Arabidopsis thaliana: one gene and its partners. The protein of the gene in region 1 interacts with the protein of each later gene in a pairwise test. Each region holds a gene or a part of one and is shown in the gene's direction. Other genes may lie near its edges. The genes, in order: AL2, GATA10, GOA and GATA11.

The links.
Region 2: the proteins of AL2 (region 1) and GATA10 interact in a two-hybrid assay, tested with the Arabidopsis thaliana proteins (one large-scale study listed by BioGRID).
Region 3: the proteins of AL2 (region 1) and GOA interact in a two-hybrid assay, tested with the Arabidopsis thaliana proteins (one large-scale study listed by BioGRID).
Region 4: the proteins of AL2 (region 1) and GATA11 interact in a two-hybrid assay, tested with the Arabidopsis thaliana proteins (one large-scale study listed by BioGRID).

Annotation. Positions count from the first base shown.
Region 1 is NC_003074.8:3,507,452-3,515,721, reverse strand, and holds AL2 (alfin-like 2), read left to right. Parts: upstream 1-5,063; 5' UTR 5,064-5,303; coding exon 5,304-5,403; exon of another isoform or gene 5,404-5,504; coding exon 5,505-5,537; coding exon of another isoform or gene 5,538-5,620; coding exon 5,621-5,843; intron 5,844-6,871; coding exon 6,872-6,995; intron 6,996-7,074; coding exon 7,075-7,335; 3' UTR 7,336-7,726; downstream 7,727-8,270. Other genes in the region: ELO1 (Paxneb protein-like protein), read left to right, coding at 1-189, 280-343, 462-609, 870-948, 1,115-1,274, 1,355-1,446, 1,731-1,892; AT3G11210 (SGNH hydrolase-type esterase superfamily protein), read left to right, coding at 2,823-2,933, 3,173-3,250, 3,702-3,842, 3,946-4,022, 4,114-4,263, 4,408-4,621.
Region 2 is NC_003070.9:2,479,280-2,487,428, reverse strand, and holds GATA10 (GATA transcription factor 10), read left to right. Parts: upstream 1-1,702; 5' UTR 1,703-1,917; coding exon of another isoform or gene 1,918-2,085; 5' UTR 2,086-2,542; exon of another isoform or gene 2,543-2,861; 5' UTR 2,862-2,864; coding exon 2,865-3,125; intron 3,126-3,303; coding exon 3,304-3,969; 3' UTR 3,970-4,189; downstream 4,190-8,149. Other genes in the region: GATA11 (GATA transcription factor 11), read left to right, coding at 27-293, 583-1,227; AT1G08005 (serine/threonine-protein phosphatase 6 regulatory subunit), read right to left, coding at 1,918-2,085; AT1G07990 (SIT4 phosphatase-associated family protein), read right to left, coding at 4,531-5,218, 5,387-5,457, 5,604-5,633, 5,717-5,849, 6,132-6,214, 6,387-6,509, 6,670-6,832, 6,920-7,023 and 3 more. UniProt on the Arabidopsis thaliana protein: Transcriptional activator that specifically binds 5'-GATA-3' or 5'-GAT-3' motifs within gene promoters. May be involved in the regulation of some light-responsive genes.
Region 3 is NC_003070.9:11,114,558-11,121,912, forward strand, and holds GOA (GORDITA), read left to right. Parts: upstream 1-3,383; 5' UTR 3,384-3,473; coding exon 3,474-3,661; intron 3,662-4,224; coding exon 4,225-4,297; intron 4,298-4,407; coding exon 4,408-4,581; intron 4,582-4,665; coding exon 4,666-4,728; intron 4,729-4,966; coding exon 4,967-5,116; 3' UTR 5,117-5,228; downstream 5,229-7,355. Other genes in the region: AT1G31130 (polyadenylate-binding protein 1-B-binding protein), read right to left, coding at 406-1,371; AT1G31150 (K-box region protein (DUF1985)), read left to right, coding at 5,540-7,228, 7,344-7,355. UniProt on the Arabidopsis thaliana protein: Probable transcription factor involved in the regulation of fruit growth. Contributes to integument development. Controls organ size via cell expansion. Involved in the regulation of longitudinal growth of the fruit evenly throughout the radial axis.
Region 4 is NC_003070.9:2,485,348-2,493,103, reverse strand, and holds GATA11 (GATA transcription factor 11), read left to right. Parts: upstream 1-5,018; 5' UTR 5,019-5,246; intron 5,247-5,253; exon of another isoform or gene 5,254-5,286; intron 5,287-5,597; exon of another isoform or gene 5,598-5,688; 5' UTR 5,689-5,701; coding exon 5,702-5,968; intron 5,969-6,257; coding exon 6,258-6,902; 3' UTR 6,903-7,256; downstream 7,257-7,756. Other genes in the region: TPST (tyrosylprotein sulfotransferase), read left to right, coding at 363-417, 514-685, 771-842, 1,136-1,421, 1,530-1,670, 1,750-1,854, 1,947-2,091, 2,678-2,727 and 4 more; AT1G08005 (serine/threonine-protein phosphatase 6 regulatory subunit), read right to left, coding at 7,593-7,756.

The DNA of each region.
Region 1 (8,270 bases):
ATGGTAATGGAAGATCCTGAAGCACCGCATCATATGGATCTGTTAAGAACTTACATGTCTCAGGGGCTTGTTAACAATCAACCACTTCTTTATGCTAGTCCTTCAAAAGATCCAAAAGGGTTTCTTGGTACTTTGCCGCATCCTGCATCATCCAAAGAGGATAAGCCTACTGCGCCCGACCCTGATCAGGTGCTACTTTCTTGTCTGTACCTTCGTTCTGTTTGCCTTTTTCCTGGCTAGTTAAAAATTGGGTAGTGTGCACTTTTGTCAATTCTGTAGGGAGAGAGCTTGAGGATTGCTTGGCAGTATCGGAAGTATTTGGAAAACCAGAAGAATGCTATTGGTAATTTAGTTAGTGCGGTTATATATTCATTTGCATATCATTCAAGAATAAATTGAGCTACTAGTAAGTTAGATATCATTCTTTGGAAACATAATCCTCTTTACCTATTCTGGATCAGATGATTACTCCAATGACTTTGATATGAGAAAGCCCTTGGAGAGGCAATTTCTGAGCGGACGGCCCATAGATTGTGTCAGTCTGTTAGACTCTTCAGATCTTTCCATTGCTCAGGACCACTGTGCTACGTTTTTATCAAAATTTCCAAGGTTGTGTGGCATCCTTTCTTATTTGATCTCAATTACTCGCTCTAGTTTCGAATCAATAAATTTTGTTGGTCATACCTATGCAGCAAATTCTGCTCAAGCTCAATTCTTTTTACATCTCTCTTATACTTCCAAGCTCAGTTTGTTTATATTGTTTTAGTTTGTTACTGAGTCAGTTATTGTTCAAATTCTTCTCTTATTTACTGGCTTTGTTAAGTAGATTGTCCTTTTTTTCTTAAGAACCTGTGTATTGTTTCCCACAGAAACAGCAGTAACATTGCATCTATTGGCCGCATCGCAATCCAGTCTTTTTGCTCTCCCCTGTGTGAGTATTCTGAAAAGGTAATTAGGAGAGTTTTCTGGAACTTTTAGCCTATATCAAGTCAACAATGCTTTCTAACGAAAATTCTCTTGACTCTATAGTTAATGATAGCTGAAGCTTGTACCAGTATCACGTCGTTATGTATTATATTGTTGATTTTTTGACATTTTGTTTCTATCAACACAGGAATCAGACATGCTCTCATTCATAAGATTGCTGAAAAGTATGCTTATGGTTTCAAATGCGGTAGCCATTGTTACTTTCCCGCCTTCCCTGCTCTCCCCATCTTCCTCTAAAAGACTGCAGCATATGGCAGATACCTTGCTCTCTATCAAAGCAATCCCAGGTTTGCTTTCCCTGATTTTCTTATTCATAAATAGATTATCATAGTTGTTTCTTGACAAGTATCCTTGCCTTTTTTTCCAGATGGTGACAAGGAATTGGAGAAACTCCTCACTGGCTACAAGGATATAAATGGATTCCTCAACATACACAAGGTTGCTCGTATCAACACACAGGTATTTACAAATTGTGTAATTCTCAATTTATATAGGGATATTATTACCCTGAAACCTGTAAGCAAGAACCCCTTTGTATTTTGCCAAGTCAAAAAAACATATTCAATGGATAAAAGTCTGATGAAATTCAAAATGTCTACTGAACAACTTATCCAGAAATCCCCATCTAATCCATTTTTCTCTCTTTTGATGAGAATGACATGAACTTGCTTAGAAACCGTTGAAAAAATGGATTCACTATGGTCCTAAACCACTGGTTTGATCTGAATTGTTTAATGGAACAGGTGCCTGTAATTCTTGAGGCAAAAACCTTCTCAATGAGCTTGAAGAAGAGAAGATTCTTGGCTCTAGAGTGTCTGAATCAAGCCCCTGTAGACGGGTCCAGTGGAACATCGTATGGCACATCTGGTAGCTGCTCATCCAAATCCGGAGCACTAGATTTTTGAGTTGCTGAGTTAGTCTTTCTTTTCTTCTTCTTAGTTTTTTTTTTTCCCTCTCCATTGAGTTCTCTAAGTTCACTCACTAACCTGAGCAGTTACATTATTATTATAGTCTTTGGTCTTAAAAACAGTTTTGACAGCAATATGTTTTGTTTTTATAATGAAATTTATTTCATTTCTGTATTATATATACTCTTATGAAACTATGACCAATGATAGATGCTAGTTACTAAACGTTCAATGTAATCACTTCAACATGTTCACGTGGTTATTTGTTGAACCATCCATATATATAACATATAAAGAAAGAAGGTGAGACATTGAATGAAGAGTTCAAAAATATGGTTGATCTATATTTGGTGCTCCTTTAATTCAGTGTTCCTTTACTTACCAACCAACGACCATATCATTTGAATTATTGCTCATAAATCTCTCTCTCTACCCAATCTCTTTATTTAGTACCCTATTCTTCTTGACTTTGTTTCTTTCCAAAGCTTATACAAGAGATATTCATTCTTAAACTAAGATTTTCATATATATTGAAAAAGAAAGAAAAGATTTCTCATCATTTTACTTTTTGGTAGAGAGCATTTCAAGTAAAAAATACTTTGAGAAACAAAAAGAGAAAACTAGTATGAGAAACAAATCCTTAAAAAAGGAAATAACAGTAATGCACGTGATGATATAACAAAAGGTTTTGTTTTGTTTGTTTTTTTATTGTTTTTTTCTTCTTTTATTTGTCTGTTATAATAATCAAAAAACAAGAAGAAAAAACGAGACGTTCATGCATTTAATCTCGCACCTTACGACAAAGAGTGAGAGAGAGGATCGCTCAGGTTTGTTCATCTTCACCGGACGATTAGCTTTTGCGGTGGGAGAAAGAACGGCCTGTCTTCAGCTCTGAAACAGAGGAACAGAGAGGTTAGGAAGGAGACAATGGTTGGACCCGCGCGGCCTCAGATCGTTTTGTTTGGATCTTCCATTGTTCAGATGAGCTTTGGCCATGGTGGTTGGGGCGCCATTCTTTCCGAGGTCTACGCTCGTAAGGTATCGTCAGATTCATCAATCTCTCTCTCTCTGTGGCTTCTGGATTCGATATTCATCCTTGGTTAGATTACTAGAGCGTTGATTCTACAAGTAGATCGCTTATTCTAATTACTCTGTATTATTTATTATTTTCCCTAACTATACATTTGTTCATTGAAATTCGTCTTTTGTTTTACGATTGTAAGCGTGTATTATGCGAACCATAATGTTATTTCTCCATTTGGATGTTATGTGTATAGGCCGACATCATTCTGCGAGGATATTATGGATGGAACTCTTCTCGTGCTTTGGAAGTTGTCGACCAAGTGTTCCCCAAGGTACTCTTTCAACTCCCTTTTTTTTTGCTTCTTCTCTCTTTAGACTATTAGTTTCTTCAATACTAGATTATGATAAAGATTCAGCGTTTTATAGGTCTTTATATTAGTCCGTATAGGTTGATGTGTGCTTATCATTTGACCTAGTAAGAATTCTTTGTGAACATTATTTTACTAGTTCAAAATGTACCCCAAAAGGATTACACAAGTGGCTATTTTAGTTGCATAGTCTTTGATTTAGCATACAAGACTCTGCATCTGTTTCAAGGGAGATGTCTCTGTTTAAGCATAATCTGTTTCATCCGAGTTTTCTTGATATCTCAAGCTGTTTTCTCTTACCCATTATAAAAAAAATTTGGTAGAATGAGCTTAACTTTGTAGAAAACCATCATATTCAAAGCTTCTGTTTTCTTCCACTTTGTCGCCTAAAAATTGCAACTTGTTACGGATGCAGGATGCTGCAGTACAACCTTCTCTGGTCATTGTCTATTTTGGAGGAAACGACTCAATGGCGCCTCACTCGTCTGGACTAGGACCTCATGTACCACTTACTGAATATGTTGATAACATGAAGAAGATCGCTCTTCATCTTCAGGTTTATACTTCCTTTATAATTGTTAGATTTATTATTTATCTCCTGTCAGTCACGTTTAAAAGCCATTTCAAGTGCTAATTTCTTCCTCTATTTTCTGTTTCAGAGCCTTTCAGACTTCACCCGAATCATATTTCTTAGTTCTCCTCCAGTGGATGAGGCTAAAGTTCGCCAGAACCAAAGGTAACTTCCCTGAATTTCTTCACTATCTCTCTGTTTCTCCTTATTCTCTCCGGCCTTATTAATATAGATGTGCTTCTTTTTCTCTCACAAGCCCATACTTGAGCGAGGTAATCCGCACAAACGACCTCTGCAAGACTTATTCAGATGCTTGTGTAGAGCTGTGCCAAGAACTCGGCCTAGAAGTAGTTGATCTCTTCTCTACTTTTCAGAAAGCAGATGACTGGAAAACTGTTTGCTTCACGTAAGTATTTTTTGAGTTCTGAAGAAATATAGAGAGACCTTTGATATATATGACTTTCTCAGAGTTTCCAAATGCGATAACCGGGAATGGAGTATCGACGATGTTCATTGAAATGTTTTAACGGTATAGTCTGGTTTGTTACAGAGACGGGATTCATTTGTCAGCACAAGGAAGCAAAATAGTAGCGGGAGAGATACTAAGAGTGGTTAAAGAAGCGGAATGGCATCCATCACTTCACTGGAAATCAATGCCAACAGAATTCGCAGATGACTCTCCTTATGATCTTGTATCAGCAGATGGCAAACAGACAGTAAATTCTTCAGAATGGACTTATTTCTGGGAAGAACAATGGGACTAAACATTTCAACACACACAACAACAACAACAAGACCCTATCTTCACATAATTCACTGTCTTAATGTGATAAAGCTTTGCTTTAGATTGTTTACATTACAAGTGTCTCTGCTATAATCTGATTCAGTTTCGCTCGAAAAACGTTACCATTTTAAAGTTTATACTTATCTAAATCTTAAATCACAGAAACACACCAAGTTTGTGTTCAAGTAATTTCTTTTTTTCTTGTTTACATTTTACAGACATTAACAAATGTCTGAAACTCATCACATAACACTCCTCCAGACAGGGGTTTAGTGTTTTGAAGGTAAAATCACAAAGTAACTAAATTTGGGCCGATAACAAAAAAGTCGCTTAGGAGATTGGACTTATTTGGGCCTAAAACCTAACACTTAAGGGCCCAACTAAAATGCCATTTACCTAAAAAGCGACGCATCTTCGTCTACTACCAAACCTTTTCGCTGACGCAACCAAACTCCCAAAAATAAAAATAAAGTTTTTATTTTCTCTCTCTCTCTTATTTTTCTTCTCCTTCTTGTTCCGTCTGCTTCTCTCCATCTCCTTCCATATCTATTGTTCTCTCTCTCTTCATGCCCGAACGCATCGGGTCTCAAAAACCATTGATACAGACATCGATCCTTGTCAACTAGTACTGATCTATAAATCTTATAAAAATCTGTAGAGATATGGCCGCCGCAGCCGTTTCCTCTAACCCTCGCACCGTTGAAGAGATCTTCAAAGATTATTCCGCTCGTCGTGCCGCTCTTCTTCGTGCTCTCACTAAAGGTCTAAATCCTCTCTCTCTCTCTTTCTCTAAATTTCCCAGATTTCTTCGTAATGCCTTTGGATTCGTCCTTTAACTTGTTCGTTTTTGTGATTTTTTCCAGATGTTGATGATTTTTACTCTCAATGCGATCCGGGTATGAAAGATTTCGACTTTTAGATACCCTTTTATGTGTTTTATTGAGATTTGATTTCAATTTTTGGGTGTTTGTGGTTATAGAAAAGGAGAATTTGTGTTTGTACGGACACCCTAATGAGTCATGGGAAGTGAATCTACCAGCAGAGGAAGTGCCTCCGGAGCTACCTGAGCCTGCTCTTGGTATCAATTTCGCTAGAGATGGTATGCAGAGGAAAGATTGGCTTTCTCTTGTTGCTGTTCACAGTGATTGTTGGTTGCTCTCTGTTTCTTTCTACTTTGGAGCCCGTCTTAATCGCAATGAGAGGTATTTCTCTTTTTCCCAACATTTTGATTCTGCATTCTCATTGTTTTGTGTTTTCTTAAGCCATGTCTCCAACTTTTACTTGATTTCAATGGATTCTGTGTTGTTCTTACATGAAACCCCATAGTTGTTTTCCATCCTGGCTCTTCTCATGTGAAGTAAAAATTGAAACTTTGTGATGATGATGGAGTTCGTTTGGAATGAGATTGTCTTTGAATTTGCGTGAAATGAGTTTTGTTTTGTTTTGTTTTTTTCGCTATTCGTCATTCATATCTATGGAGTATTGTTTGTTGCATGACTTCATCTGTCTAAACTTTTTCTCAGCTCTTTTGGATATTGTAATGGCTAAACTTGAAACTTGATTATCCTCCCTAATTTTAAAAGCCTGGTATTTGCTATTCTATGAAATCTGAAAACGGATATTCTGTGGTCGCATGTGCTGAATTTCACCATTTCATTGTTACATCTGAACACCCATCTTAGTAACTATGGAATCCAAAGAACTTTACTGACAAAGGTTTTGTGAAAGTTAAATTTTGACAAAAAAAATTGCTATTTGATTAGTACTAATGAGATCATTTTACTGTCTGTCTGTCATATATTCTAGAAAACAATGTTATTTTGGTTATTATCTGTTTCATTGTTCTTCAAGAGAGAAGTAGTTGTTGGCATTTAGATAGGTTTCAATTAAAGGTGCAAGAAACTGGACTTTGTTTTCTCAACCAGTAGTTTCACTATACCATTAACAAGTCTCTAAAGTGATCCTCTACCATTTTAGTCCTCTATCTTATTTACACTAGACTAGTAAAAAGCATTTCGTAAGATGCATTTCCAAGGATAGAGAATTTAACCCGACAGAGCTGCAAACAAATAATGCTAGATAAAACATCACAATTGTGTGTTGTACTGATATGAAGATTCTGGTTCGTTTTTCCTCACTTTCGCTTGCTAATCTAGTTCTTAGCTTATCTTAGCTGCCTTTTTCAATGTGTTGTCCACTCATGGAGTTATATTATTCTTTTGATTTGCAGGAAGCGGTTATTCAGTCTGATCAACGATCTCCCAACTCTCTTCGATGTAGTGACTGGTAGGAAAGCCATGAAAGACAACAAGCCAAGCTCGGACTCAGGAAGCAAATCCAGAAATGGCACTAAGGTACACAAAATAAGGAGCCTCCTTTCTTCTTTTTTGTTATCTGGTTTCCCTCTTTGAAATCAAAAATCGTAATTAGCAGAGATCAATAGACGGGCAGACAAAGAGCTCAACACCGAAACTAATGGAAGAGAGCTATGAGGAGGAGGAAGAAGAAGACGAGCATGGAGACACTCTCTGTGGAAGCTGTGGAGGTCATTACACAAATGAGGAGTTCTGGATTTGCTGTGATGTTTGTGAACGTTGGTACCATGGAAAATGCGTCAAGATAACTCCGGCTAAAGCAGAGAGCATCAAGCAGTATAAATGCCCGCCTTGCTGTGCAAAGAAAGGAAGACAGTGATGCTGATCAATTGATGATGATGATGATGATGATCTCTCAGAGAGACTCTGGTTCTCATGTTTTAATCAATATGTTAATCAACTTTTTTTCTTTTCTTCTCTTTTTTTCTTTAACCTTCTTAATTTTAAAGCATACAAAACTCTCTCTTTAGATCTCAAGAAAGGGATTTCAAGAAGTTGAGGGAGAGAGTAGCAAACTGTTTGAATAATATTATTATTATTCATATTAAAAAAAAAAAAACTGGGTTGTGTCATCAATTGTGTTGTGTCATGGGGTTTGTATATGTTAGACTTAGTCAAATCTTTAAGCTTCGAACCGAATTTTGAACAAATATGTTTTTAATCTTCTGTTAGGTCTTTTATCTGTCTTAAGATATTGTTTTTCATAATTTTAAAGAATATTATTATCCAATATTATGTGATATGTCAAAGTGATAGTCTTCTCATTTGGCCGGAATTGTAAAGAGCCAACATGTTTTCCAAGTTCTAAAGGGCAAGTAAATGTGATCGCAAGCCTTAGAATTGGTAAGTTTTATAATTAACCATCAAGATTGTCACAAATCATCTCTAAATCCAAATCTAAATTTTTCAATCAAATTTGCGACAATAATCAAATATTTTTATTTTTTAAAAAAAAAAATACTATTTATTTAGCATCATACTCAATAAGAAATTCATGAAATGTTAATAGTTGACAATCGACTGAATTTAACTAAATTTTAAACTCATCGACTGAATATTTATTCGACGATAATGATTTGTAGCCTAGTGTTTTGGTTTGTGCTAATTAATGCATGTTGATGATAATAATAATAACAATGATCAATATTCAAAATCAATACAAATCAATTTATAAATGTGATCATGCATGTATGTAATATCAAGAAGGGCGATCCCAAGTAAAGCCAGCATGAAGATCACAAATTCACAATACAA
Region 2 (8,149 bases), on another chromosome or scaffold:
TTCTTGGGTACAGTTAGATAGATAGCATGAATTGGTTACCTGAAGCTGAAGCTGAGGATGACTTCAAAGGTCTTCTCTCTGGTGATTTCTTTGATGATCTCATCAATCACCTTGACGTCCCTCTTGATGACATTGATACCACCAATGGTGAAGGAGATTGGGTTGACAGGTTTCAAGACCTTGAGCCTCCTCCCATGGATATGTTCCCCACTTTGCCTTCTGACCTCACCTCTTGCGGCTCTGGCATGGCCAAGGCCCCTCGTGTGGATATTCAAAGGAACATTCCTGCTTTGGTGAGTTCTTTGTTTTTTTTATCACTTTTGCATTTTACTTGTTTTGATTTTTACCCAATTTGAGTAAAAAAAGCTTTTCTACCTGAAATTTTCTTGCTTATTTAGTTACTCATATAATTTGAGTGATGTCAATCTTTCACTTTCCGCTGTGTTTATAACCATAGTTAGCAGCATTCATGTAGAGGGTATTCCTAATCCGAGTATAATCTTGTGTCACTTACTTTACTGGTGCATTGATTGTGTTCCTGATTTTGCAATCCATCTGATTTGTTTGGTTTCGTTGGTGCAGAAACAGTCCTATTCTTCTGAAGCCTTGTCCAGCACTCTCCACCAATCTTCAGCTCCTCCTGAAATCAAAGTTTCGAAACTATTTCAGTCTTTAAGTCCAGTGTCAGTTCTCGAGAACAGTTATGGTTCTCTCTCGACCCACAACAATGGATCTCAGAGATTGGCTTTCCCTGTGAAAGGCATGAGAAGCAAGCGCAAACGCCCCACAACACTGAGACTTAGCTACCTTTTCCCCTCTGAACCCCGAAAGCCCGAGAAGTCAACCCCGGGCAAACCTGAATCCGAGTGTTACTTTTCTTCTGAGCAACATGCCAAGAAGAAACGCAAGATCCACCTGACCACCCGCACGGTCTCTTCCACTCTGGAGGCAAGCAACTCGGATGGGATAGTCCGCAAATGCACTCATTGCGAGACAACCAAGACCCCACAGTGGAGGGAAGGACCCAGTGGACCGAAGACCCTCTGCAATGCTTGCGGAGTGAGGTTCAGATCTGGTCGCCTAGTTCCAGAATACCGACCAGCCTCAAGCCCCACCTTCATCCCAGCTGTGCATTCAAACTCACACAGGAAGATCATTGAGATGAGAAGGAAGGACGACGAACAGTTTGATAGCAGCATGATTCGGGCAGTGATATCCAGAGGGTAAAGCAGTTTTTTTTTTAAAGTTTGGTCTCTGATCCGCAGAAATGGGAAGTCAGTGGAGGAAGAAGATGGTATAAAAGTAGGGTTTAGTGACTGTTTTCAAATCTGATGAAGAGAGTTTAGTGGTTTAGTTCAAGTTAGGGATATGAAATATTTTGTTGTTTCATTATGTGTTTTTATCTTTATCTCTTGGCTGACATTTGTGTATCAGAGGAAAACAGGTGAAGCCAAAGTTTGCTCTCTTTTTTTCGCTATTTCAAATCTATTCTTTTTATTCTTCAATCCCATAATCTTCTTCTTTTTTTCATCTGTTTTACTATTTTGCATTAGTTGAAAAATAAACGCCCATCAAATTCAGTCATGGAGGCTGCTTGCTTATGTACGTATATGATTAATGTTCAACAGAAGGAAACTGAAGTGCAAAAGAGTTTCTATGTAGGTTAAAGACGGACACCTTGGTGGTAAGCTAAGTAACAACTTCCTCTAGCTGACAACAACAGAAACTTAATGATAACAGAGAAAGATTAGAAAACAAAAGCTTTTTTCACAGAGACGAGAGACTCACCTACAAGAAATTTCAACTAAAACCAAGTTTTGTTTCATTACGCTCATACAAAATCACACTGTACAAGATGCTGACTCTAAACTCCAACTTCATGATCCACTTTCCAGTAATTGTTATCGTTGAACTCTTTCATTCCTCAGTCTTTAGGTCCTCAGCCATCTCCTTGTTCATCTTCATCGCTTGCTCCATGCCTTTCTCTGTCACTTGTGCTTCCACTCCCACAAATTCCACGTCCTTATCAAAGAAGGATCTTTCTGAACCGTTTGGAATCAAAGATTCGGTTTTGACGTCAGGCATTGGTAATGTCGAGGCTCATTATGTTCTTGGTGTCATCATCATCGATAAAGAACATTGATCTTTTGGTTGGAGACCTTAGCCTCATGACTTGTGAAGATGGATAACAAACCTTAGCCTCATTATGTTCTCTGCTTTAGTGGGTTGTTGGTACCCAAGGTCTAATCTTTTTGGTGGGTTGTGTTTATATACCCCAACCCAAAGGGTCTCTGATTAATAATTTGGAATGACTAATCGCAACTCATGTGTTCATTTCTGTGTATATAAATCCCAAACCAGTTGACCATTAAAAGCAAAAACAAAAATGACGAGACATTGAAAACTCCATCTACCTTTTTCTCCCTCCTCTTCTCTCTCCCATTCCCAAATTCGAACGAACCTGCAATCCCTAAACCCCCAATTTAGACCATCTCCAAATTCGTCGTCCTTTTCTCTGTGTAGTCTAATTATATATTACAAGGTTCTTGCTCTCCTCTCTCTTTCTTTCTTTCTTTACTGGGTTTTATATTTTGTTGCTTTGGTGGTGTGGGAATGAATACTTGCGACCGACACTTGTCTCACTGTTAAAAGAAATTGTTTCAATCTTCGTTACCTTCAAATGTCGTCATTGTTATCTGTTGCGAAATTGCTTTAAGTCTGTGTCATTAGTGAAACCTCGTAATTGAATTTTTTAACTTGTAATTTTTTGGTGGACATGGGAGCTGTTCTTGAACTCCTGCTGCATATGTGTTGAGTTTTAAGCTCATTTTCTAATCGCTTTACCTTTTCTTGGTTTACAGTAGATGAATTGGTTACCTGAAGCTGAAGCTGAGGAGCACTTGAAAGGTATTCTCTCTGGTGATTTCTTTGATGGTCTCACCAATCACCTTGATTGCCCACTTGAAGACATCGATTCCACCAATGGTGAGGGAGATTGGGTCGCCAGGTTTCAAGACCTTGAGCCTCCTCCCTTGGATATGTTCCCTGCTTTGCCTTCTGACCTCACCTCTTGTCCCAAGGGCGCCGCTCGTGTGCGGATTCCCAACAACATGATTCCTGCTTTGGTCAGTTCTTGTTTTCTTATCACTTACTTGATAGAGTTTTACCCTATTAGATAGAGTATATCATCTATTTAAACTGAATTTGTCTTGCTTATTAGCATCATTCATGTAGAGGTGCATTGATTGTGTTCCTGATTCCTGAATTTTAATCCATCTGCTTTCTTTGGTTCTGTGGGTGCAGAAGCAGTCCTGTTCTTCTGAAGCCTTGTCCGGCATTAATAGCACTCCCCACCAATCTTCAGCTCCTCCTGATATCAAAGTTTCATATCTATTTCAGTCTCTAACTCCAGTGTCAGTTCTCGAGAACAGTTATGGTTCTCTCTCCACCCAAAACTCCGGATCTCAGAGATTGGCTTTCCCTGTGAAAGGCATGAGAAGCAAGCGCAGACGCCCCACAACAGTGAGACTTAGCTACCTTTTCCCCTTTGAACCCAGAAAGTCAACTCCGGGTGAATCAGTAACCGAGGGTTACTATTCTTCTGAGCAACATGCCAAGAAGAAGCGCAAGATTCATCTGATCACCCACACCGAGTCTTCCACTTTGGAGTCAAGTAAGTCGGATGGGATAGTCCGGATATGCACTCATTGTGAGACAATCACGACCCCACAGTGGAGGCAAGGACCCAGTGGACCCAAGACCCTCTGCAACGCTTGCGGAGTCCGGTTCAAATCTGGTCGCCTAGTTCCAGAATACCGGCCAGCCTCAAGCCCGACCTTCATCCCATCTGTGCATTCAAACTCACACAGGAAGATCATTGAGATGAGAAAGAAGGACGACGAGTTTGATACCAGCATGATTCGCAGTGATATCCAGAAGGTAAAGCAGGGGAGGAAGAAAATGGTATAAAAGTAGGGGTTAGTGACTGTTTTCAAATCTGATGAAGAGAGTTTAGGGGTTTAGTCAAGTTAGGGATATAACATATTTGTTGTTTCATTATGTGATTTATCTTATCTCTCTCTCATTTTGCGAGCAATATGGTTGCACTGACGTTTGTGTATCAGAGGAAGAGAGGTGAAAGCCAATGTTTGCTTTTTTGCTTCTTTGCTTCAATCCCATAATCTTCTATTTTTCGTCTGTCTTAATATTTTATATTAGTTCAAAAGAAGTGAATAGCTTCAAATTCATTTATTGACTTTGTCACCCTTTAGGTTTACTATATGATTTGATGTTTGTCAAGCGAAACTAAACTCAAAAGAGTCCAAATATACTTTAAAACGGACAACTTCGTGGTAGGCAAAGTAAATAAGCACAGACAACTTCCTCTAGCTGACAACAACAGAAGCCTAATGATAAAAGAGAAAAAGATACATGCCAAAGAGAGAGAGACCCTTGCACCAAATTTTAACTAATAACAAGTTTTGTATCATACTCTCACACAAAATGACACTGTACAAGGTAACGACTTTTTCATTCCAACACTCCAACTTCTTGATCCACTTTCCAGTAGTTGTTATCGTTGAACTCTTTCACTCCTCCTGAACTTTCCTCCGGCTTTGAGTCCTCAGCCATCTCCTTGTTCTTCTTCATCACTCCAGCTTCTCCTACTATCCCTTCTTTCATCGCTTGCTCCATCGCTTTCTCTGCCCCTTCTGGTTCCACTCCCACAAATTCCACGTCCTTCTCAAATAACGATCTTTCTGACCCGTTTGGAATCATGGATTCAGATTTGACCTCAGCCATTGGTATGTCGAGGTTCATTATGTGCTTGCTGTCATCATCATCATCATCATCGATAAATGGGTTCAGACCGGTGCCACTCGCTTGCATATCAGATGGTTCTCCCCACCCGACCCATTCGGGTGGCTGTTCAGCAAAAGCTTCTTCAGCTTTCTGTGAGGTGTTGAAGTCGAAGAAATCCAGTGGACTCTCCATTTGAAAGTTGGTTTCAGTTGTGTTCAACGCGTTGTCTTTTGGGTTTCCAGTTAGATCATCGTCTTCTTCTCCAACCACAACTTCATCATCGTCACTACTGCTAGTGTTGGCATTATAGGTTTTATTCAATTCCACGTCTATCGTGTTCGAACCCGCTGTGTCAGAGGGTGTGCTGCCGAATCTATCGTCTTGGAATGTGAACCAATTCGAATTTGTAAACAAGCTGCGGCAAAATACCAAAAAAGATTCAAGTCATTATTTTGAGAGACGTCATCATTCGTTTTTTGGTCAAGAGAGATGACATAATTCAATCACCAAGATACAGTAACTGTAGTTTAAAGCAAGGACATGAGGACACCAGTATTAACAGATAATAAAAAGATAAACTCACCTTCCTTGGTCATCCCCAAGTCTTAAGGATGAAATTACTACTTCAGCAGATTCATCGTCGAAGTAAACATCCTGTATAGTATATAAACACATTCCAATTTTCAATAGCAAACTCTTATTAGCGTACATCCCCCATACGTATCATAGTGTGATAAAAGATGTTGATAGTTTCCTTGATTTTTCAAAAAAGCGGAGAGAAGAATTTTTGCAAGACTTACATCATCGTCTCTATCAAGGGCATTGTGGTCCTGAGAGAAATACAAAGACGATAAATTCAGTACCCAGGAAATCATTCATAAATTGAAGAAAAAGCACTAGTGTGAGAAGATACCTCTTCATTGTCATCGTTTCCATATATTTTGTATCTAAATGCTTGGCTTAAGTTATTGGCCAGAGCTGCAACATCGTAATCCCTGTCTTCCTCATCGCTATCTCTTGTCCTATCTTGTAGGGTAGTTGGGCGCCTACACGTAACAATTAGTTTAGGAATTTTTATAACCAAAAAGAGTGAAGATAAAATCCAAAACCCGGGACCAGATCATGGTGCATTTACTGAGTGGTCTCGTCATGAGAAGAAATATTATTTGACTATGATACCATCAGTCATCAATGCAGAATTATCTTTGAGGGTTTTGTCCAAGAGGAACAAGGATCACACATGAATTTTTACATCCATAATCAGCATTATGTAGCAGACTGACCAATTAAATGGTTACTAGATGATTTGTGAGTAGAGGTTAACATACCCACATCCCCATCTGTTGACATTTTCAACCGTGTTGCGGTCCTGCAGAACACTACCTTGCCACTCATTCCATTCGCTGTTTTCCTAAAGATTTGGGAATGAACAAAGCACAATCAGCAAACATGGTAGATTCCAACAGAGTGCTAGGACCATTCATCACAAGACTCAACTAATGGTTTTACATTCTTTATGCGTGTGAAGTGACAAAAAAGCGGCAGAAGAAAAACAACACGACACGTATAATTTTTATACCAACCTGAAGGTATGCCTTTATCTGGCCATTGCTGTTACTCAACTGACCAATTTTATTTGATATTCTTGTGATATGCCCGACATACCCGACACGAGGTTTTTTTTTCCCGGAGGCAGCTACAGTGGGCTACCTCGCACAAAAGAAAAAGAAAATGCCAGAGAATATTTGTTTAGCTAATGAACGCTGGAGCAATGAGTCAATGGAGCTAACTTGGAGCTGTATTAAGATGACTCTTTCATATGCTGATGATCAGTTAAACCTTTGTGAACATAGCAAATGGTAATACCTGGCTATCACCTAAGAGGTTTGAGTCCCTGTCCGACAAGAGGAATTTGCCAATCAGATCGCAGTCTCGAAGAATATGGTTAACCATCAAATCGCTCTTGTTTTCCAAACAAGAAAGTATTATACTCTCCACTTGATGATGCAGAGCATTATTGTACGGGTACCTTCATATGTCGAGAGTATTTGATTTTTTAAGATCTCGTAGAAATAGCACACGGTAATCACAAAATTTTAAGTTTAGCAAAACCTACTCGAAAAACAGATCAAGGGTCCTTTTGATTGTTCCTGAACTGACTAATTCCTTTTGTGCAGCTTCACTTCTAGTTTTCAACAAAACTGCAATGAACTCCACAATCTGAAACAAAGAAAATAAGATAAGTGAGTCTAATTAAGTATAGAGACTTTACATACAATATATTAAGAGCACTGTTGGTGTCCTAAAAACGACAATGTCTTCCATAAAATGCTCCATGTTTGGACCTGACCTTTAGACGATGCTTTCCGAGAGGAGGCCTCAGTTCACCATATGTTGTAGGCAATACTGTGCTATCAGATGCTACAGTGAGAAGCATAAGCAAGTCATCTGCAGAAAAAAAAAAAAATATTACTTAAGGTCATTGAATGCATAAAACCTGATTTGAAAAACTTGTATGAGACAGTATCATACATATCCAAGATGTGCTACGTAAGCATTCCAGAATTATGTAAAACCAGTTTCCATTTATCAATATAAACCAAAATAGAAGAGACCAAATAGAGAGCAGGGAAGATCAAACAGAACGTCCAGATAGATGCTAAATACTCTAGGTATCCTCGCAAATGGAAAGTAATATCACATAAGAAAAGGATTGACTATTGTCCAAGTGCACAATAAGATTATGTGCATGCAACAAATAAAAAAGCCAGAAAATTAATAATCTTGATGGTCATGTGACGATGGTGCATCATAGGATCCAACTTACTGAGTTTGGGCAGCATGGCACCAATAGTTTCTGGGGAAACTGGGACAGGAGACTCGAACATATGTTGACCTCTGTAAGAATTGAACATAGAAGATGAAACAGCAGATCTCCTCGGATCCAGAAGAGAGGTGCATACTGAAAGTGAATGAACTAGACCGGATTTTGAATGCGAGTCTTCAAGAGCATGACCAAATATCTTTGCAACGTAGCTGCAAAAACAGGGAAAAAGTTGTGCTGCCATGTGAAACACTTTTGTATCATCTATCAAAGCATTAGGAATCATCATGGAAGAAAGATTACAAACCCAGGGCTAGAGAGCTGCGTAGCTAAAGCTGACGGTGCATTCCGAGAAATTGCACATAATGTTTCTGCTGCATTTGCCTGAACCTCCGGAGGACTCTGATTCAAGTTGTAATGCAAGAAACATATCAGAATGAAGATGATAGAAGAAATTAGTAATATCATCAGATATCCTAGATTTACACCACCTACAAGTATCAAAGAGAAAACCAAGAGCCT
Region 3 (7,355 bases), on another chromosome or scaffold:
AAAAGTATCCACAATAATTGCTCCTACGACCTTAACTTAGTGTAGGTTAATTCCAAGGTCAAATCCTACAGCTAATTACATATCTAAACAAGCCACTTCCTTCATTTATTATCAATTTAAGCATCTAAAACCCAACATTTTTAACGGATAATAATTATCATCAACATGAGAAGAATAAAACACATCTTTCAACAAGAATAAATTAGTAAACTCAAATCATGTAATAATAATCAAATGAAAACAACAACAAAGAGTGTTGAGTCTAATACATACACATTACATTAAAACTATTGTTCAGATTCCAAATTTCTTCTTCTTCTCCAATATTACAAACTACAAAGAGAGAGAGAGAATGGTAATAAGAGAAGAAAAACAGTACAAGAGAATCATCATCTTGACAAATCTTCAAATATCTAAATCCTCCAACTGAATGTTGCTCTTAAGAGGCACATAATCTCCAAGATACCCACCAAGTTGATCATACAAAGCGGTCTTATCAATAGTCTGATGATGATAACTCTTACAAACATAGTAAAACACACTCTGAACCAACAAACCCACAAGATTAACCATCACAAGAACACCAACTAACAATCCACCAACCAAAGTCCTAGTAAAAGTTCCATACTTCCCACCACCATGAACCACAACAGCACCAAAAACAACTCCAATCAATCCACAGAGGAAAAGATAAACAAAGATTAACCCCATAGCCATCTTAGTCTTCCCTTTAAGCAACTCATAAGCTTTTCTCATAGCGGCGATTCCGTAAACCGGTTCAAGAACAGAGATTACACTACCTAAATGCCATAAAGCAGTGAAATAAACATGAACACCAAAGTATAGAACAGAGATTATAACCCCGGCTACAATAGCTAAACCTAAACTATTCAAATCAAGAGCTACGAGAAGCATCACGAGGAAGACAAAGAAGACTGCGTTATAAGCAAACATCAACAGAGCAACCCAAAGGAAAGTTATAAAGAGTCGTTTAAAGACTTTGGGAATCGCAGAGAGAGTTGACGAGAAAGAAACAGGCTTTCCGGTGTAAAGAGAAGCGACGGTGAAGACAACAGCAGCGGTTGAGAGAAGAGAGAAGGCAAAGAGGAAGATCAAGTAACTGAACTGGAAGATTAGAAGAACAGTCCAATCATGACGTGAACGATCTGAGTTTGGTGGGTCGGATTTGTCGAGTTTGGCTAAGATTGGTTGAGTGAAGAGTGAGTGAGCGAGGATAGCGAAGGAGAGAGGGAAGATGAAGGAGAGGGTTATGAGGTAGAAGGTTCTTGGAGATCGTTTCTTGATTGAGATTGATTCTTGAAGTAGTTGAGGTATTGTCAAGAATTGAAGCTCTTCTGGTTGGAGATCCATGGTTTGTTTCTTTGGAATGAGGTTTGATCGGAGAAGAACAGAGAGGAGAGATTAAGAATCACCGACGGGTCAATTTCGAAATCTGAGAGAGATGAAGTTTTTTTTTTTTTGTTGAGGTGTGTTTTGTTGATATCAAGAAGATGGAGAAAAAATGTTTACGGGTAAAGACTTTTTTTTTCCTTGGAAACTTCTGGGAAACTCATATAACACGTTTTGACTAGTATTGTTATTGTGACCATTTTTTTTTGGGGGGGGGGGGCAACTAATTGTTTATTTTTTGCTTTAATTAATATGATGGAATCGTTATTTTATGGGAAAATATGTAAGTGGTAAAGAGATGGACAAAAAGGAAAAGGAGATTTGGTCAAGTTTTATGAGCACAACTCTCTTTGCATGAGCTGAGACGCAATCATGGAACTAGACTTTCTATAGAGTTTATGAATCTTGTATACTTACAAAGAAATGGTAAGATAGGGTAAATCTAATTTTGATAGAGTTTAATTATGCACCTAATACCTAATATTCACCGTGAAGAATACTCTAGAAGAGTATTCAGATTTTCATATTTGTAATACATATATATGTACTACATTTTTTTAATGTTATTTATTTACATTTTGAAATTAAATAAATAAGTTCAAAGAATAAATATGATTTAATTTGAACGACATATCAGAAATGTTGTAATCTGTTTTTTTTTTTTTTTTGAATATTGTAATCTGAAAAATGAAAGTTTAATGGTTTGATATTTCGGTTGTATGTGTGATTATGTATGTTTTGATTTGTTTTCACGTAATAATGAGGAAATCAGGATCAAAACTTTAAAAAGAGCAAACAGAAAATTAATGATGTTAAAAGTTTATTAATACGAAGAAGAAAAAAAAAAGTTTTATTGATACGACCTTGTTTGAAATAGGATTAATAAATTTTCTGATGAAGTTAATTTATGATAGAAACAAAATCAAAGATTAATGCTTACTTCCACTGAATCTGAGGTGCAGGGAAATCACATGGACCGATGGTCCCAACAGTTAACTGTCCATGTCAACTTAAATACTACTAATTTACATAATTAATAGATGTGAAAATTATCTTTGCAATGAATATTGAACTTGTAACTTTTTGTATGTGTTTAATTTGGAGATCTTATAAGTTTACGTAAGGAAATAGAACTAGCAATCAAATGTTGGTGTATAAGCACTATCCTACACACACGATTTCTTTAATTATACTTTCAATTTCGAATAGAGAAATATAAGAAATGGACAAGACCGGCCGGTCCATGATTATATACTCTCAAGTTTCAACTTTTGTTTTGGTTTTCTAACTTTTATAAAGATATGTAACAAATGTGTTTTTAATCGAATGTGTTTTAATCTTTTTTCTTCTGGCACTAGGTTCTTTCTACACTAGCTACTTTAATCGAATGACTAATGGAATGTAATAAACCAATACTTAAACTAAACACTTGCCTCTTAAAGCCTTATTACAAGAAAAATAATAGACCGTGTATCATCAAAATATTGAAAAATAAATAAATACCCCAACACGTAATTTATAACAGTAAGACTATGAATGGAGGTAGCGGACAAAGCGGTTTAATTTGTCTGCGATTTAGTCCATCTCATTTTTGAGGCGAACAATAAACCGCTGCGGACCAAGTTTATTTGTATGTAAAAACGGTCCGTAGATGATCCGCTGCGGTTTTCTTCTATTTTTTTTGGTCATTGATGAATTGTAAATAAAAATAGTCTGATTCGTTGACGGTTTTGTCCGTCCCAACCGCCATAACCATTCAAACCCTAAATCGAATTCACAAGTCATAACAACTAATTCTCCCTAAATATAAGCATATCCTAACACAAACTAAAGAAATACCTATTATTATTTAATAAATTTAGTAAGAATACCTATTATTATTTAATGAACCATCCAAACCATACTTACAAAAGTAGCAGTCCCTATCTAAATAGAAACTGTTGATCTCAAGGTTTCATTTGCTAAAAAAAAAAAAAAAAAGCAACCACATTTCTTTCTCTATCTCACTCTCTCGTTTAACATTCTCATGAAATTAGGGTTTTAGAAAGATAGATCGATTGAAGATGAGGAAAGGTAAGAGAGTGATAAAAAAGATAGAGGAGAAAATAAAGAGACAAGTGACATTCGCAAAGAGAAAGAAGAGTCTAATCAAGAAGGCATATGAACTCTCTGTTCTCTGCGATGTCCACCTTGGTCTCATCATCTTCTCTCACTCCAACAGGCTCTACGATTTCTGCTCCAACTCTACCAGGTTTATATATAAAATCATGCATATGTGTGTTCTTGTTTTGGTAAAACAAAAAGAAAAGAAAATGAATGCTCTTTAATATGGACAGAAAAAAAGAGTTATTGAAGTTTTTTTTTCTAGTTGTAATTAATCAATACCATCATCACTTGGTTTCATCTTTTCTTTTTCGTTGGTTTACTTCTTTTTTTTTGTGAAACTTTCGTTGATTTACTTAAGAGAAATAAAATGCTGACAATCTTGCCTAGGAAATGAGATGATTAATCAAAGTGTTGCTTCATTTAGTTTTTTCTGTTCACTCGTACGCAAGTTTGAAATGCTTTTGGTCATCTTTTTTTTTTTCATATAATTTGGTATTGTATCCTTTATATGCTTTCTTGGGATATTTTATTATGTACCAGGTTTAATTCTATGGAAAGTTATGATCTATGTAGGAAAAGTTATGATCTTTTGTATTATGGATCCAAAAGAAAATTCATATTAAAGTTCATTCAGAAATAACTCATCTTGATATAAAAAATTTCTTCTGTTTTCTAGTTCCTAAGTTTATTTAATTTTTGTAACATCAGCATGGAGAATCTCATCATGAGATACCAAAAGGAAAAAGAAGGTCAAACCACTGCAGAACACAGTTTCCACTCGGTAATTATTTTTGTTATAATTCACAAATTAATATTTATCTTCACATGTTTTAAATTTATGGATGTTATATATGAATATAATAAAAATTTGTTGAAATTTTTTTTTTTTAGGATCAGTGTTCAGATTGCGTGAAGACGAAGGAATCAATGATGAGAGAGATAGAGAATCTTAAGCTGAATCTTCAATTGTACGACGGACATGGCTTGAATCTCTTGACCTACGACGAGCTCCTTTCTTTTGAGCTCCATCTCGAATCTTCTCTACAACATGCTCGAGCTCGCAAGGTAAAATAATACTGTTAATATACACACTTTATATAGTCTATACATTTATTAAAGGTTCTTGTCTCTTGTTTACTAATAATGTAGTCTGAGTTCATGCATCAGCAGCAGCAGCAACAAACAGATCAAAAGCTTAAGGGAAAAGAAAAGGTGAGTTCTTGGCTTTGGTATATTTTTTCCATTAAATACATGTTAATTTTATGTAATTTTCAAAGCTTAATTTACATATAACCATTTTTTCAACTGTTTGTATTATTTTTTTCTAATAGGAAATACTTATTGATGAATAAACTCAACATTTATGTTTCGTCTGTATATGTGACTTTTACATGTAAAATAAGTTAAATGTATAAAATAGCTAACTCATTTTTCATTTCTACTTAATTAGGGTCAAGGAAGCTCTTGGGAGCAGCTGATGTGGCAAGCAGAGAGACAGATGATGACGTGTCAAAGACAAAAAGATCCTGCGCCGGCGAATGAAGGAGGAGTTCCTTTTTTACGGTGGGGAACAACCCACCGACGTTCTTCACCTCCTTAAGCTACCACAACCAGGCCCAAATACAGGCCCATAACTTCTCTCTATCTATAAAAAACAACTGATAGTAAAAAGTATTGACCCGGTTTGGTTCGGTTATGTTGATACCAGACTATTAATTAACTTCGGTTAGACGTATTTACGACTTGATGCTATCTAGACCTTTTTGCCCTTCACATAAACTAATGATTACACTTTAATTGCCACTGAATCTTCCAACACAACACCACCCAGTTAACACCACCGTTGTCGTCCACCTTAGTGGTCGGAGAAACCAAATCAGTATAAAATTCTGATGACCGGGAATGCAAACTCAACGTCTTCTTCCCTCGAGATCGGCGGCGAAATCTTTTTGAAGATCTCCTAAAGATTTACATTTCTCATTATCTCTTTTCTCCCCATTTTCAAGTTCCGATTCATGCAACAATGAACCAAATCAAAGATCCAAACCCTAATCTACCGGAACGTCTCTTCGCCGTCGATTGCTATCCCGATAAAGCCCGTCTTAATATATATTCAAGACCTGAATATCTCGGTACAATTGCTAACCTTCTCAAAGGCTCTGAAGAATGGGAACGAATCAAAAGTTCACAATTTGGTAAGCTGTTCGAATTCCCTGTCGCTCGATGCTCACATTCAGGTAAGCTGATACATGGTTTATTATCCCGACAAGTCGTAACTAAAAAGAAACACGAGTTATGGTTTGTGTTTGGTGGACACCCAATACGTTTCTCTATAAGAGAGTTTCATATAGTGACTGGTCTTAGATGTGGTAAATTACCAACAGAAGATGAGGTAAAGAAGCATCAGGATTCTAAGTATTTGTCTGTGTGGAATAGGCTTTTCGGAGAGAAAAGAATGGTTACTATTGGAGATGTGTTGGAGATGTTACAAAAGAAGAAACTTTCCTCTTGGAAAAAGCTTTGTTTAGCTCTCATTGTAATTGTGGATGGTGTTGTTGTATGTAATGACCAAAGCTTTGTAACTCTAGATTTTGTGGAGATGTTGAATGATATAGACTTCTTTTTGGAGTATCCATGGGGGAGAAAAGCTTTTCTCGCAACTATTCGTCGTTTCGGGCCACCTAAAGATGCACCTAATCCGTTAGGGAAACTTAAGAAGCGTTTGAAACAGAAGACGAGTGCGTGTTACGGTTTTCCTCTAGCTCTTCAGTTACAAGTTTTTGAATCCATTCCGGTGATATTGGAGAGGATAAAAGATCCAAACGATCTTCGGGACTTCACTGAGAGGTCATCTGAGGGGTTGTCAATAGCGTTTCTGCTTCGTAAGAGTTATATTCTTGATGCTGAAGTTGATGACAAGCTTGTGGTTGCACATACATTGGAACCTAAGGGAATGATTAATGAATCTGAGTTGGTTTGGGAAACAGAGGTTTCTGATCCCAAGGTGGATTACATTTTGAGATTGATCAACGAGGGACATTGTTTCAAACCATTTGAATGGCCACACTTGAAAGCAGCAAATCAAGAGGTCAATATTCCAGATATTGATGGTGACAGCCTTGAAGATGTCACAGATGTTAGTCAAGCAAGGCCCAAAAAGCCTCTTACTAGGTCTTCTAAGAAGGAGAAGGAAGTTGTCAAGCCTCCTAGTATCCACAAACATACTTCTCAGGAAAAAATAAAGGCTAAAGTTCATGTTGGTGGAGAAAGTAACGACCCGGGGTATGTCACGCTTGCTTACTTGAATGACATGAAGGAGTGGATACTGAAACAGAATCAAGACCTTAGAAACAAGATTAGGGAGGATGTTAAAGAAATTGTTGTTGGTCCCAAATCACCAGCAGGAGGAGCATCTAATCTGCGTCAATCAAACAGGCTTAACACCAACAGTAAGGGAAAGACTGATGCATCACCTCCTAAGAAAACCGGCAACACAGAAACGCGAAAACGAAAAAGAAAACAGGTAGAGGTTCACTCCTTATCATCTGGAAGCGAGTCAGCCGGTGACATTGAAGGTGAAGAGGATGTTCAGAGTACATGGAAAGAGGACGGAAATGCGCCAAGCTCGGGTACATTTGATGAATGTGATGATTATGGAGGTGCTCTAAAAATCACTCAGGAAGGTGATGTGATGCAAGAAGAAAGTGACTTTGTAAGTGTTCTTTACATTCTTACATCACATTCCCATATTTTATCTGATTACATTTTGTTTTTCCTCCTGTTATTGCTTATGGACTATGGTTATAACAATATCAAATTTCTTGTAGGATCACTGTTCT
Region 4 (7,756 bases), on another chromosome or scaffold:
TTTTCCTTGTTTTCGTAGGACCTAGTAGATAGCGAGTTTTGCCCCCAAAACAGCGATCGAGGGAATTTATGAGCACGAGATCTCGATTCCCCATACACGTAGGCCTCTGCTTCTCTCTCTTGTTCCTTTGTTCCTTTCTTTATTCGATTTTCTGGGTCCCTTTTGCCCTGTTTTTCCTCTGTCTCCTTCCCCCAAAATCTTTCGGTTTTGTTTTTATACAACTTGCAACCGTTAATGTTCATCCTCACCGATTGATCACCTACTCTTTTCCCTTCCTGGGTTTTGTTTCTTTCGAATAAAGATTGATCCTTCTTTCACTTATAATCGTTTTGGTAATCAGTAGGGTTTGGAATCGAGGCACAATGCAAATGAACTCTGTTTGGAAGCTGTCTCTTGGGTTATTACTTCTTAGCTCAGGTATGTATGCAGAATGGTTTTACAAAATTGTTCATTTGATAAAAAAGCTGGACTTGTCTCTGATGTTCTTGGAATAATTGGCAAATTATATCTCAGTTATTGGCTCTTTTGCGGAACTTGATTTTGGCCATTGCGAAACTCTTGTGAAAAAATGGGCTGATTCTTCTTCATCTCGTGAAGAACATGTTAATAAAGACAAACGCTCGCTTAAGGATTTGCTCTTCTTTCTCCACGTTCCGCGAACTGGAGGCAGAACATATTTTCATTGGTGATTTGATTTCCTTTACCAAAAAGTTTTTGAGAGATTCTTTTATGATTGTTGTGTGGTTAAGGCTGTGTTTGTGCTCTTGTAGTTTTTTGAGGAAGTTGTATGATAGCTCTGAGGAATGTCCTCGATCTTACGACAAGCTCCACTTCAATCCAAGGTATCTTAATTTCATCAGTGCTCTCGCTAATTGTACGTCTTTATTTGATGCCAAAGACTCTTTCTTGTGGAAACAATAAGATGGCTTACAGAATGCTGTTTGTACATTCTATTGGTTGTTAAGTTGACTTTAGATAGCTTAGCTAGACATATATAAAGTTAAATATTGTTTCATATGAAAATCAATTTTCCCTAGCCTCCTTTACCTAAAGAAAAACAATGTGAAAAAAGTATTTTGCCTGTGGTGTTACTACCTTCGGACAGTTAAGATCGTGTTGACTCGTAAATTTATAGGAAGGAAAAGTGCAAGTTGTTAGCCACACATGATGATTATAGTTTGATGGCAAAGCTTCCGAGGGAGAGAACTTCGGTGATGACAATAGTTCGGGATCCTATTGCGCGTGTGTTAAGCACTTATGAATTTTCCGTAGAGGTAGCAGCTAGGTTTTTGGTGCATCCCAATTTAACTTCTGCGTCAAGGATGTCTAGCCGCATACGCAAGAGTAATGTAATAAGCACACTAGACATATGGCCATGGAAATACCTAGTTCCATGGATGAGAGAAGACTTGTTTGCTCGGGTATGTCGACCTATCCCATTCGTCTTTTTTGGCTTTTAAGCTAGAACATGATAAGAACACATAAAACTTGGGCTGAAGCTTTTTTTACTCATCCTTGGCTTTTCTTAGCGAGATGCACGAAAATTGAAGGAGGTAGTGATCATTGAGGACGATAACCCGTATGACATGGAGGAGATGCTTATGCCTTTGCACAAATATCTTGATGCGCCTACTGCTCATGACATCATCCACAATGGAGCGACTTTTCAGGTACTTTTTCATGCTATTTGTTTAAGTTTTCAAAGTTATTGATTAGAGATCTCCAGAGCATTTTCATTTCACTTCACAGATTGCAGGATTGACAAATAACTCCCATTTATCAGAAGCACACGAGGTTCGGCATTGTGTGCAGAAATTCAAAAGCCTTGGTGAGTCTGTTCTCCAAGTTGCCAAGGTAGTAACACTTCTTCTTCATCATAGTTCACTGCGTCTTGGTATTGTGCTTTTAAAAGCAGCAGATTCTGTAAGCTTTTTTAAATTTTGCAGAGGAGGCTAGACAGCATGTTGTATGTTGGACTGACAGAGGAGCACAGGGAATCTGCATCACTTTTTGCCAATGTAGTGGGTTCTCAAGTGCTGTCTCAAGTGGTTCCGTCCAATGCAACTGCGAAAATCAAAGCTCTTAAATCAGGTTGGTGTAAGTTTCTTAATACCATCGCTGGGCTATCTAAGGAGAATCTAGCAACTTAGTTGAAGGACATGGTGATCATTTTTTTAGTCACAGTGTACAGTTTTTTCAGAGTACCGCTTTGGAGATGGTATTTACTTTAGTTTTTGGCTTTTGAAAGTCAAAACCCGTCATATTATTCATTAAAATGTTTGACTGATATTTTTCATTCACTTTTTAGGAGTTTGATTTTTAATTACCTAGGGAAGCTACTTATTGTTCTCTGTTATTTGGGGATTATCGTATAAGGTTTGATTGTCTTTCATCATGAAGATTTTTCTGATCTATGTTTCTTGTTGTCACATCATCTTTAAAGGTTCTCTTGCCCTCTTTTGTTTTAGACTTGTGTCTTGTTACTCTGGGTCCCTGGGTTTATTAAAGTTTCTTTGTTGGTTAATCATAGTCTCTTAGAGTAAGTAGAATGATGATATGACAGTTCATGTGCATACAGCCTAGGCTTTCTATTGCTTTTGTTGTATTTAAAGTCAGGATAACAAATGGTTGTACTTGCACTCACCAAATTGTCAACTTTATTTCCTTGATGCTTCAGAAGCAAGTGTCACAATTTCAGAAACCGGGTCAGATAAGAGTAATATTCAGGTAAAGTCCTGCTGCAGAAGGTAATAATTTGTTTGTTCAACTGTCATTTTTGTAATTGTCTTGCTGAAAATGGCTGTGACATTACAGAATGGTACATCTGAAGTTACATTGAATAAGGCAGAAGCTAAGAGTGGGAATGTAAGTAGAATCCCTTTTCCAATTTATTATCAACGCTTGAGACCTTGTGTGACTTTTATATATACACTTCAGATGACGGTAAAAACCCTTATGGAAGTCTATGAAGGCTGCATCACTCATTTACGAAAGTCCCAAGGAACCAGACGGGTCAACTCTCTGAAGAGAATAACTCCAGCAAATTTTACAAGAGGGGTAAAGTGTTTTCGTACATGATCTAAACTTAGTAAAGTTAATGAGAGAAGGCTGGAATAATGAAATCTTTTGACAATGCATCTAACAGACGCGTACAAGAGTTCCTAAAGAGGTCATTCAGCAGATCAAATCGCTTAACAACCTCGATGTGGAGCTCTACAAATATGCAAAAGTAATCTTTGCCAAAGAACATGAATTAGTGTCGAATAAGTTGATCTCAAGTGTAAGAAACTTCTTGTCTTCACATTTCGCCTTTTAGTTTCTGTCTGATATAAGACTAAACTCCATGATTCGTGTGCAGTCTAAGAGAAGCATTGTTGATCTGCCGAGTGAGTTAAAGAGCGTATTGGGAGAAATGGGTGAAGAGAAGCTATGGAAGTTCGTACCAGTGGCATTGATGCTTTTATTGATCGTCCTCTTCTTTCTATTTGTAAACGCTAAAAGGAGAAGAACCTCCAAAGTTAAGATTTGATCATTGTCACTATATTTTGGACCAAATCAGCAATTTGAAGAAGCTTTTGGGGTCCAATTTGTAATATTATTCTCTTTCTTTTTCTACTTTTCGTGGAAAAAGAAAAAGTTTTGGGTGTTGCCTTACCTTACAGGTGAAAAAGGGAAAATCACAAGTAAAAAAAAACTCTCTATCTACTTTATTTTAAAAGGCTAAACAAAACAGGTAAAGTCACAAAATTAGTGCTTCTTTTTTTTTTTTTGTTTAAGTGAGCTTAATCAATAAAGATAAAAGTAATAAGATTTCACAATTTTTTTTTTTTTTTTTTTTTGAGAAAGTACACTACTAACTGGTTTGAATTTGACTGTACCATTTTTCACGCAACAGACTGTGTGCAATTTAAAGTACAGTTCATACAAATCTCTATAAAACAAATTGTACAAAAGCAGTAAATATACCCCCACGTGATATTTGTTTTCTTATCAACGACGCAGTGTAAACAATAATATGTCAAAAATTTTGAAGAAAAAATCATATAAACTATATAAGAAGAAAAAATGAAAAGAAATATGAAGATCGTGTATATTAATTTTTTTTTATATAAAAAATACTAATAATAATAATTGATTGATGGGAGGAAGATAGTAAGTGAAAGGGATGAAACATATCATGTGGGAGATGGAAGCAAAGAGTTAGGCAAGGGACCCACTTTCCCATGAGGAAACGCCATAATCATCTTTATTATTATTATTATTTCGGTTCTCGTCTCTTAATCCTTCGTCGGTGATCTCTCCATTTCACTTTGACTCTCTCTATTATACTAAAGGTTTTTAGTATATTATGTTAAACCCAACTTATTTGTTTGCTACGTAAATTAAATTATACATCAATTCATGATACTATCTATTATTATTGCTAGAGATCGAGATCTATCAACCATCCTTCCCTCAAGGTTATTTTGCCATGTGCTTATCCTATTTTCCTTTTTAGATCTATTCCACGCAATCATTTCTCTATTTAATTCTTTTGACCATCATTAAGTGTTATTACCATCTTTTAATTTCCATGTCGACATACTATTACCATGTTAAAATGGGTAAATTCTTTCTTTTATCCTTTCATTACACCGACATATATTCCTTAAAACCCATTCAGATAAAATATTTGACTGATATTTTACTTACCTTATATATATCAGCTTTAATGATACAATATCTTTATTAATTGCAAGAAGAGGTTTAATGTTACAGTTGTACCCACAAGTTTTAGTGCAACGTTTTCAATTGACTTGGATTAACTTAACAAATACTATTACTACTTCAGTTAGTGTATATATATATTTATTGACATATGTAAAAGAACCAAAATTGAGTTTTTTTTTTCTTTTTGGTAAAACGCGTTGATAGAGAGATTTTTATTTCTCAAAGAAACTGATTAAGATTTTTCTTTAAAGTTAAGAAAAGCAGTTTCCATAATAATAATTTTCATATACAAGTAAGTAAGTAAGTAAGTAATAGTATTACATTATTATCTATTTTAAATGAATGAATCTCTCTCTCAAAGAAACTGACGAGACATTGAAAACTCCCATCTACCTTTTCTCTTTCTCTCTCTCTCCCTCCCAAAGTCGAACCTGCAATCCCTAAATCCCCAATTTGAGACCATCTCCAGTTCGTCATCGTACGACGACTCTCTCTCTCTCTCTCCTCTTCTCTGTATAGTCGAATTATATTACAAGGTTCGTTGCGTCTCTCTCTCCCTCTCTTTCTCTCGTTAGGGTAAAAGCTTTCTCTTTTATTGTGTCTTGTCTTGCATTTTCCTCTGTTACGTTTTGCGTTGTTTTCGAAAAATGTAGGAAATAAATTTGGTTGCTTGCTTTGTTGGTGTGTGAACCGACACTTATCTCTGTGATTTTTTTAATTAAATTCTCAGTGATGTTTGAAGGAATTGTTTCAATCTTCGTTACCTTAAAATGATGTCGTCATTGTTATTGTATTGGGTAAATTTTCTGTTTTGTAATTGTTTTAGCATATGTCTCTGTCTGATTGTGTCAGAGTTTTGAGTGAAACCCCCAAAGTTTTTTTTTTTTTATTTAACTGGACATGAAGCTGTTTTTGAATTCAGCTTTTGGTGAATTTTACGCTGATTTTTGAATGTGTTTTATCTTTTCTTGGGTACAGTTAGATAGATAGCATGAATTGGTTACCTGAAGCTGAAGCTGAGGATGACTTCAAAGGTCTTCTCTCTGGTGATTTCTTTGATGATCTCATCAATCACCTTGACGTCCCTCTTGATGACATTGATACCACCAATGGTGAAGGAGATTGGGTTGACAGGTTTCAAGACCTTGAGCCTCCTCCCATGGATATGTTCCCCACTTTGCCTTCTGACCTCACCTCTTGCGGCTCTGGCATGGCCAAGGCCCCTCGTGTGGATATTCAAAGGAACATTCCTGCTTTGGTGAGTTCTTTGTTTTTTTTATCACTTTTGCATTTTACTTGTTTTGATTTTTACCCAATTTGAGTAAAAAAAGCTTTTCTACCTGAAATTTTCTTGCTTATTTAGTTACTCATATAATTTGAGTGATGTCAATCTTTCACTTTCCGCTGTGTTTATAACCATAGTTAGCAGCATTCATGTAGAGGGTATTCCTAATCCGAGTATAATCTTGTGTCACTTACTTTACTGGTGCATTGATTGTGTTCCTGATTTTGCAATCCATCTGATTTGTTTGGTTTCGTTGGTGCAGAAACAGTCCTATTCTTCTGAAGCCTTGTCCAGCACTCTCCACCAATCTTCAGCTCCTCCTGAAATCAAAGTTTCGAAACTATTTCAGTCTTTAAGTCCAGTGTCAGTTCTCGAGAACAGTTATGGTTCTCTCTCGACCCACAACAATGGATCTCAGAGATTGGCTTTCCCTGTGAAAGGCATGAGAAGCAAGCGCAAACGCCCCACAACACTGAGACTTAGCTACCTTTTCCCCTCTGAACCCCGAAAGCCCGAGAAGTCAACCCCGGGCAAACCTGAATCCGAGTGTTACTTTTCTTCTGAGCAACATGCCAAGAAGAAACGCAAGATCCACCTGACCACCCGCACGGTCTCTTCCACTCTGGAGGCAAGCAACTCGGATGGGATAGTCCGCAAATGCACTCATTGCGAGACAACCAAGACCCCACAGTGGAGGGAAGGACCCAGTGGACCGAAGACCCTCTGCAATGCTTGCGGAGTGAGGTTCAGATCTGGTCGCCTAGTTCCAGAATACCGACCAGCCTCAAGCCCCACCTTCATCCCAGCTGTGCATTCAAACTCACACAGGAAGATCATTGAGATGAGAAGGAAGGACGACGAACAGTTTGATAGCAGCATGATTCGGGCAGTGATATCCAGAGGGTAAAGCAGTTTTTTTTTTAAAGTTTGGTCTCTGATCCGCAGAAATGGGAAGTCAGTGGAGGAAGAAGATGGTATAAAAGTAGGGTTTAGTGACTGTTTTCAAATCTGATGAAGAGAGTTTAGTGGTTTAGTTCAAGTTAGGGATATGAAATATTTTGTTGTTTCATTATGTGTTTTTATCTTTATCTCTTGGCTGACATTTGTGTATCAGAGGAAAACAGGTGAAGCCAAAGTTTGCTCTCTTTTTTTCGCTATTTCAAATCTATTCTTTTTATTCTTCAATCCCATAATCTTCTTCTTTTTTTCATCTGTTTTACTATTTTGCATTAGTTGAAAAATAAACGCCCATCAAATTCAGTCATGGAGGCTGCTTGCTTATGTACGTATATGATTAATGTTCAACAGAAGGAAACTGAAGTGCAAAAGAGTTTCTATGTAGGTTAAAGACGGACACCTTGGTGGTAAGCTAAGTAACAACTTCCTCTAGCTGACAACAACAGAAACTTAATGATAACAGAGAAAGATTAGAAAACAAAAGCTTTTTTCACAGAGACGAGAGACTCACCTACAAGAAATTTCAACTAAAACCAAGTTTTGTTTCATTACGCTCATACAAAATCACACTGTACAAGATGCTGACTCTAAACTCCAACTTCATGATCCACTTTCCAGTAATTGTTATCGTTGAACTCTTTCATTCCTCAGTCTTTAGGTCCTCAGCCATCTCCTTGTTCATCTTCATCGCTTGCTCCATGCCTTTCTCTGTCACTTGTGCTTCCACTCCCACAAATTCCACGTCCTTATCAAAGAAGGATCTTTCTGAACCGTTTGGAATCAAAGATTCGGTTTTGACGTCAG